Zea mays: one gene and its partner. The protein of the gene in region 2 binds, or shares a complex with, the protein of the main gene of each other region. Links are inferred from orthologs where the notes say so. Each region holds a gene or a part of one and is shown on either strand. Other genes may lie near its edges. The genes, in order: 50S ribosomal protein L34-like; 50S ribosomal protein L1, chloroplastic-like.

What was found.
Region 1: 50S ribosomal protein L1, chloroplastic-like (region 2) and 50S ribosomal protein L34-like share a complex: the UniProt entries of both Arabidopsis thaliana proteins name them as parts of the 50S ribosomal subunit. The link is inferred for Zea mays from reciprocal best matches to the Arabidopsis thaliana genes EMB3126 and AT1G29070.

The regions. Positions count from the first base shown.
Region 1 is NC_050098.1:192,685,736-192,689,785, forward strand, and holds 50S ribosomal protein L34-like, read left to right. Parts: upstream 1-1,509; 5' UTR 1,510-1,535; coding exon 1,536-1,785; intron 1,786-3,057; coding exon 3,058-3,317; 3' UTR 3,318-3,461; downstream 3,462-4,050. UniProt on the Arabidopsis thaliana protein: This protein binds directly to 23S ribosomal RNA.
Region 2 is NC_050101.1:154,264,846-154,269,461, reverse strand, and holds the start of 50S ribosomal protein L1, chloroplastic-like, read right to left. Parts: upstream 2,996-4,616; 5' UTR 2,941-2,995; coding exon 2,614-2,940; intron 2,514-2,613; coding exon 2,334-2,513; intron 2,247-2,333; coding exon 2,192-2,246; intron 1,633-2,191; coding exon 1,505-1,632; intron 1,159-1,504; coding exon 1,075-1,158; intron 1-1,074. UniProt on the Arabidopsis thaliana protein: This protein binds directly to 23S ribosomal RNA.

The DNA of each region.
Region 1 (4,050 bases), on a different chromosome or scaffold from region 2:
TGGTCTCCTCGTTGATCCATGAAAGTCGTAAGAGATAGATCTGGAGTACTTACAGCGGGACCCTGAAGTGGAGGTAGGAGAGATTCCATACCGATATCCCCTTGACGGGTGATCTTCTGGTGGCGATCCACCGTGAAGTGTGACAAGTACTTTTCTACCGGCTCCTTGTGCCATTCAGAGAGTTTATGCAGCAGCTCCGCCTATTCCTTGTCGCGTTGTTCGTTCCATTGCTGCATCACCTCCTTCTCATCACGCATTACGAGGTCTTCAAAGGGTCTTTGGTCATCAGCCGGGAGCGCCTCCATGGCCGGCTTGATGATGTTGGTGGTGGAGATCTTGGTGTGATCCTTAGAACCGACCATCTATGGGCCGATTTTTAGCAGGTCTAGACACCTAGTCCCCAGCAGAGTCGCCAAAAGTATGTTGACACCTTTTTCGGGCGCCAAACACTCAACAAGAACCGGCGACGGTGCTCTCTACACAGGCGCAAACGGTTCGCGCCCAGGGGCCGGACGGTCCGCGACCTGACGCAGGGCTAGGGTTCCCTGCCTGACGGCCGGACGGTATGCGCCCTAGGGGCCGGACGGTCCGCGTGTGCGCAGGGGCGGCGAAAGGTCGCCGGCGGCGCCTGGATCTCGCTCCCGGGAGGGACCCCGTCGGGGAGGAGAGATTCTAGGGGTTGTCTAGGCTCGACAGGCCGACCTAGATCCTCTAATCGACATAGAGTCGAAGAGAAGCGGAGAATTTGGGGATTAGAATACTAAACTAGGGCTAAACTAGAACTAGACTAGAACTACTCCTAATGCATAAGGTAAAAACGAGTAATAGACTTGATTTGATCGATTGTTGGGGAGTTCAATCGGCCGTAGCCCTTCATCTATATAAAGGGGGAGGTCTGGATCCGCTTCGAACTGATTTCCGAGTCAATCCCACGGTTTTAGATAACAAATCCCATGAGAAACTAGGAACCCTAACTGACTCTGCGCACGTGCGGACCGTCCGCGCCACCACCGAAGACAGTCCGGACCGTGGACCGTCCGCGCGGCCCCTTTTGGCTTTCAACAACTGTATATGCTCGGACTTAGAGCTAAAGATCCAGAAATGAGGAAGCAATTCTTCAAGCTTTACCATGATACAGTTTTGTAAACATTCTTAATCTTTAAAAGATGCTAACAAGAGTATAGGACAACAATTAATGCTTCTGCATTTCAACGTATCTTATCTTAACATATTTTACTCCGTAGCAATGCACGGGCATACAACTAGTATCATTGTAAGTTTTATAATGGAATGAAGCCCTCTAATTAATGGTAAAATAGCGAAACTCACTTTTGATAATGGCGCAATCCTAAATTTCTCCGTGAGGAACCGGGATTCTCCAGGGCGGAGGAGGGGATGTGTGGGTCAAATGTGCACTAGCCCATAGGAGGCCCATAAGGCCTGTCTCATCAAGCGTGGATAAGATAAAATAAAACAAGCACCAGGGACAGGGAGTGGCTAGACCGCAGCAATTGCGATTGCGAGTCCTCCAAACCATGGCGCTCGCCCTGGCCTCTCCAATGGCGTCTCTCTCCTTCCACTCCGGGAGGATCTCGGCGGCGTCTATCGGAGGCGTCGGCCGCACTCGCAGGGCGGCCCCGGTGGGCGTATCCGCCTCGCCGTTCCTCCGGAGCTCCTTCGTCTCGTCCTCCTCCACGTCGTCCGCCTCCGCCTCCGCCTCCCCCGCTTCGCTCGCGGCGGCTGTCTCGGCGTCTCTGGCATTTACGTCCTCCTCCGCGTTTGCGGGTGAGAATGTATCCTGTAATCCTTTTCTTCCTGTATTCGTGTGCTAGCGTTTGGGCGGCCATTTGTTTTGGTCTTTATTTGGGGAAATTTTGTGGGTAGTTTGCTTACTAGTAAGCTCGTACGGGGAAATGACATTAAAAATTTGAAATTATGACTTCATGACCGTGTGTTGACGATAGATTTGCAGAATAGGATGTTTGACTTGCTAATAATTCACTAATAATACAGTAAGCTGGTATCAAGAGGGTGGAGTTTTGGAATAGTTTGTTCTTTGTTGTTCATTACTCTAGTAGGGTGAAGAACAGTAACTGGGGATTTATGTTGTTTTAACGTTTGAACCGGAATTAATTACACTCACTTCATCTATACAAACAGAAATAAGGGTGTCCTAACTAATTCTTTGAAAACATTGAAGCTTGTGTGGTTGGTATTATAAAAAAACCAAAAATTCAGTTAGTCGGGCATATTAATAGAGAAGGACTAGATACACCAACATCGTTGAAAACAAAAGAAAAATGCTCACGAAACGAAGCGATGGCAAGACAATCACCAAAATAATAGTACATCGCCAATAAAACCATCAGAGCATTGGCAATCAGAACACGCCCTGATAGCCAAACAAGATATGGGGTGGGGTTCATATGATGCCTCCAAGGAGGTAAACAACATCTGCAGGTGCCGCCATCGATTATAGAACCTATGCTTTTGAACCAAAATCCCCTTAGGGTCTAGAGACCTCTTGACAATGCCTACAAGGAGGAGTGCGTCACCATTGCTGGCATCAACAGAAAGCCGAGCGTAGCTTTTGTCGAAAATCTGCTACCCCAAAACCCACACCTTGTTCCTGCAATGGCAAGGAGCCCACCAACGGCACTGCATGTTGTCATCCACCAAGTCTCAAGATAAAGTCATTGCAATAGCATTTTCTTTTGCTTGACAAGAAATCAAGATTTAAGAAGGGCTGCATATGACAGGACTATTAACCAATATAGTGAAGATTATATAACACAGTTGAAGCATAAACGCTTCCAAGAAACTTGATCTCAGGACTGATAGTCTGATACTACGACAACACTTTAATCACACTCGACTTTTCCATTACCTAAAGCAAATCCCAAAGCTCCTAAAAGAAGCACGACAAAGTTGAATCCAACAAACCATTTAAGCATTGTATAACAATCCAAACACAACCAGATAGGTATTCACAAATCAATGATTGTGAGTGCATGTGTGCCTTCGTTGTTCTTATACTTATAGCATGTTCTATGCCAGGTTCATCTTTGGGAATCGAGTTCAGCTACAGTATAATGACAACACGGAGATCCCGTGGTATGCAGATTAGGGCTGGAAAGGCTGCCCTCTGCATGACCAAGAGGTCAAGGTCTAGGAAGTCACTTGCCCGTACACATGGTTTCCGCAGGCGGATGCGGACTACTTCTGGAAGGAAGGTACTGAAGCGCAGGCGCGCCAAAGGCAGGAAGGTTCTTTGCACAAGGACAAACTCAAACAGTGGGAAGAAAAGAATGTTCTAATTACACTGCAATTTGATGTGCTCGCAACTGTAAGTGTAATGTCTACTTGCAATCTTCTAAGCCGCCATCTATGTGTAACAATCATGTAGCATCCTATTCCTGTTTAATTGGTTAAAAATATCTGGATCACCTTCTGCTTCCAAGGTTTTATTTGGTGTATGAATGATATTTTCTTATGAATATTTACTCTTCCCTAGTGGGCCTGAACCTGCGTGCAGTATGAAGGAACACTTGAGAGTAGATACCGTCGCTGTTATGAAGTAGGATCTCCTTTTACCCTGCCCATATTCCGTTATGAATACTGAATCTTCCCTGTTGGGTCTGAAATTGTGTGCAGTAGCATCGTTCGCTATACTGAACTAGGATCTCCTTTTGCGTTGCAGGGATAATCAGTTAAACTATTATATACTCCGGTTCCAATTTATAATTCATTTGACTTTTTTACACTAAGTTTGACCATCTCGTTTTATTTAAAAAATCATAATTATTGTTAAAGTTTACTGTGGTTTTGATTAGCATACAATATACTTTAAGTATGGCTTTGGATTTTTTTATTTTTTCAAAAAAAAAATTGAATAAGACAAACCGGATTTACCTTCATTAGCTGATGATGAAACTACTTACCCGTGCGGCCGTTTGATCCTTGCGCTACTTAAATTCTCTTTTCGATGGAGAGAAAGAGGCCGAAAGGACTCTGATGTCTAAAAGTAGAGTAAATTAAAGCACCTAATTA
Region 2 (4,616 bases):
TCCATTTTGAGTTTTTGGTACTTCCACCCTTACTTCTAAATAAAATAATCTGAACTATGAAACTGGACCAAATTTTAAGTCATATCCCTGAATCAACTGCCTCACTACTTTTGCTAGTTATTATTGTCAATGCTTTATGTTGTTATCTAGGGTGAATCGGGATTTCATAATATTATTAGAGTAAATTACACTAGTCCCTAACCTACCGCACGATTCTCATTTAGATCCCCAAACTATGAAATTGCATATCTAGGTCCCTAAACTATTTAAGTATCCCATCCCGGTGCAAAACAGTCACATCACAGTTCATTAGCTAACATTGCACTCTAGCGTGGAACCGACATGCATGTCCATAACTCATAATTACAAGGATGATACCTAAACTATCATTGGATTCTTACAAAAGTCTCAAACTATAAAATTTGGATTAGGATTGTAGTACTTTAATAGGTTAGGGACCTAGATGAGTAGTTTTATAGTTTGGGACCTAGCTGAGAATCCTATGATAGTTTAGACAGCCCTTGTAACTATGAACTATGGACCCATATGTCAGCTTCACGCTGGAGTGCCACGTCAGTTGATGGACTGTGATGTGGTTATTTTGGATCAAGATATGATACTTATATAGTTTAGGGACCTAGATATGCAATTTCATAGCTTGGGACCCAAATGAGAATTACATAATAGTTTAGGGACCGCCAGTGTAGTTTACTCATATTATTACCACTGATAACGCTTCATATCTTCCAACATGTGTCTCATCTAGTTTCCTCGGCGATCAGTAAAACCAACTATTTCAACTTCCTGAACTCTTGCTATGCACAATTAAATTACAAACATGTGTTCAATAAAAACACCATGCCTGAACCTTGAATTATCGGAGTACAGGAAAGTAAATGCAACTGATAAAGGTAGGAAGTTACTTGTACATGAATCCTAGAAGTCAGTAAATACTACAAGGGCATGAAGTTTTAAATCTTGTCACAGTGCCCAGACTAAGCAATGAAGACAAACGATTTAGAATATCGATAAAAAAACTGAGGCAAACAAAATCTGTATTGACTTCCTCAATACCTGAGTAATATTTGAAGAAACAGTGCCAGCTTTGGGGTTAGGCATCAGTCCTCTTGGTCCTAGAATCTTACCTAAGCCCGCAACCTGAAAAGTAAACAGAAATAACTCAGGCTGATAATCATTTAAAGGGGAGCCCACATTGAAAGTTTCTACGAACATGTCAAATAATGCAACAAATATATACAGAACTTTGGACATTTAGTTTAGCATTAGTTATCAAAGAATGAAACATCTCACACATGTATTCTTGTATTCCGAAATTAGATTGGCATAGCCAATCTATTTTATCTATAGAAAACAAAAAAATTAACAGTTTACATGGTAAGACACTTAGGACCTATAGTAAGCACAACTAAATATTTCATTTCAAATTTTGTGGTAGTATCCAACAGTAAATTGAAATGAAGGCAGAACTGTTAATAGCTCATACCTTAGGCATCATATCAGGTGATGCAATCAATTTGTCAAACTCCATAAATCCTCCTTTTATTTGTTCAATCAAATCTTCTCCACCTACGATATCAGCTCCGGCAGCTCTAGCTTCATCTATCTTCTCACCTGTGAGGTCAGAAAATAACTATTAATGCATATAATGACCATGATTATTTCAACTACTGGTGCTACCATCTTTATGATAATGACAAGAAAAACATGACTATCTTTCACAAAGGATATGAAAGAGAAGTTTCAGTCATTCAACAAGGGTTTGCTAAGTGGACAGCACAAAAATAGCACCATCCCAACTCCCAAGTGACTTCTTGTAAAAAACAAAGAAGTAGAAACATCATGAACATAATAAACTGATTGTTAAATTCTTCTACCAAGATGCCAAAGATGAATTAACTTTGTCCAATCCAATATGTTGCATTTGAACTCTGAAAGAAGCCATGGTACTTTAAGAAGAAAAAAAATACAAAATTAACCAATCGGGTCATCAGCACACAATGTTTGCATAAAAATAAAGACAAGCGTGTTTCAGATTAAACCCATAGTCACACATGAGGCAAGGCAATAGTGTCAAACAGAACAATCACACATATGACCCACTAGCACAGTGAATTCAGTTTGTACTAACTATCGCTCAACAGGATTTCGTTGTGTTTCAATCACCGCCCACCTTGTGTGAGAACCGCAATCTTCACCGACTGGCCTGTTCCCTTGGGCAAATTCACCTGTGGTCACCACGACCAGCACAAATTAACGAACGCAACAGGGCACAAGCAACCAAAAAGAGAAGGCCAGAAAAGAAGAAACAATACCGTGGCCCGGAGCTGCTGGTCATTGTACTTGGGGTCGAGATTCATGCGGAAGTGCGCCTCCGCTGACTCAACAAACTTGGCACTGGACATCTGCTTCATCAACGAGATGGCGGTGGGCACGTCGTAGTCCTTCTTGCTCTCCCTCAGCTTCTGTATCTCGAGGAACCTCTTCGACCTCGTCTGCGCACCATCAAAACTAGCACAGCATCACCGGCCGTACACAAGCAAGCAAGCCACAGGAACCATATACGGAGGGTGGGGTATTCGGCGATATGCGTACGCGGTCGCGCTTAAGCAGTAGCGCGGCCTTGCCGGTGCGCGGGCGCGTGGGGGCCGTGAACGCGGGGCCGCGCCCGCCCTCATACCCGTCGTCGTCGTCGTACTGGCCCTGCTGGTCGACCTCCGCCTCCTCTTCGAGCACGGCCCCCTGCGGGTCGGCGATGGCGGCCGCGGCGGGGCGGCGGAACGCGAGGAGGAGCCGCGGGTACGCACGCAGCGACGGCACGGAGGAGGGGAACAGCAGCGCGTTTGACGAGGCCGGCGCCGTGCTGCTGGCCGCCGGCGCGAGGAGGGAGGAGGAGGCGGTGGCCGCGGCGGCTGTGGCCATGGTGGAGGCCGGGGAGGATGGCGCAGCAGATAAGAGGGAGTGGAGGGATAGAAAGAGAAGCCGAAGTGGCAGCGCGGGTTGGTTATAGCCGAAAGATCTCGGCCTGGGTGTTCATCGGATAGGGCTGGTCGTGGGCGGGCTCGCGGTCGCAGCCTCGCAGGGGCAGGGATGACGGGCGCCGCGCCTGGAAAACTCCTCCCCCCTGATTCCAGTGATTTTGGCTCAACCGAGACGCCCGGTCACCTGCCTGATCTTGGTTGGGAGTTGGGACGAGCGGGTGTACGAGTGTGCGATCGTGTCGTGTCCGCGCGGGCGACGGGTAAGGAGAAACACGGCGAGTTGGCTGGGCCGAGACGCGCGCAGGTGTTCGGAGCTCCTGATTTGGCTCAGCCCCGAGGACCGAGAGCCATGCGGATGCGCGCGAGGCAGCCGGACAGGTGTGTGGTCGCGGTTCGCGTGTGGGTTCGAGCGGCAGCGACGAGGGACGCATGTGTGGCTGTGGCTGCCAGCCTGCGACTGCGAACTGTTTGTGTGTGGCCCTTGACTCTACTCTATATCTATACTACTATATTATTTAGATTATCCACCAAACAAATTCAGATAGCTGGATAACTCTATCACCCTTACTCAAATTCAATGATGAACAATATTATCTAGATCATCTATCATTTGTCATGTCACCCTTCCCTTTCCCACAATCTGTCGCCTCCAACCTCTCCCTCCCTCGCGTCCCCGTCGCCCTCTCCCCTTCACTCGTGCCTCCACCGTCAATTCCTCCTATAGTTCTGAGGCCTATGTTGTAATACATTGGTAGTGTGACCATAACATGTGGTTTTCTCACTTTGTAATCAGACTTTAGGTTGTTTCAATGGCACACCACTCCACATACATACAATGAACTTTAGAAAGTGCAGGAGCTCCAACTTTTTCCCCTGCTGCCACCATGTAGAGGGAGAGAGAGAAAATTATCTCATATATCACTACACTTTTAATATAGAATTTTCTTTGTGCGTCGCCATGTGTCTCTCACGCGTGAGTAGGGGTGGTAATGGGCTATAAACTTTATACTGCAAATTTTAAGGATCGAATCGGATTAGGGTCGGGCTCTATTCTTATTCATTTTTGAACTAATATTATTTAAGGGCCTTAACTTTTGTGAAGAGGCATTTGGATCGTGATCCATTACCACCTCTACGCGTGAGCGCCCGTGTCCGTCCAACGCGGCAGGGCTCCTACCACTATGGCACACATCCATTTGTGGTACATAAAGGAGAGATTATATATATCTATACACTATAATTTAAAAAAAAAATATAATCATGTTTGAATATATATATATATAATTTAAGGAAATGCAACATATATGATATACAAAAACTGTAGCAATATTGAGAGCACCTAGAAAGGGGTGAATAGGTGATCCTGTAAAATTCAACACTAATAGCCACAAAACTTAGTTGTTAAAGTTAGAACGGCTAAGTAGCTTGAAACGAGCTCTTGCGAACACAGACAATCAAAAAGAAAGCACATAAGAGACACGTGATTTTTATCTCGTGGTTCGGCCAAGTAATACTTGCTTACTTCCACGTTGTGGCGTCCCAATGAACGAGGGTTGCACTCAACCCCTTTCAAGTGATCTAATGATCAACTTGAATACCACGATTTTTCTTCCTTGT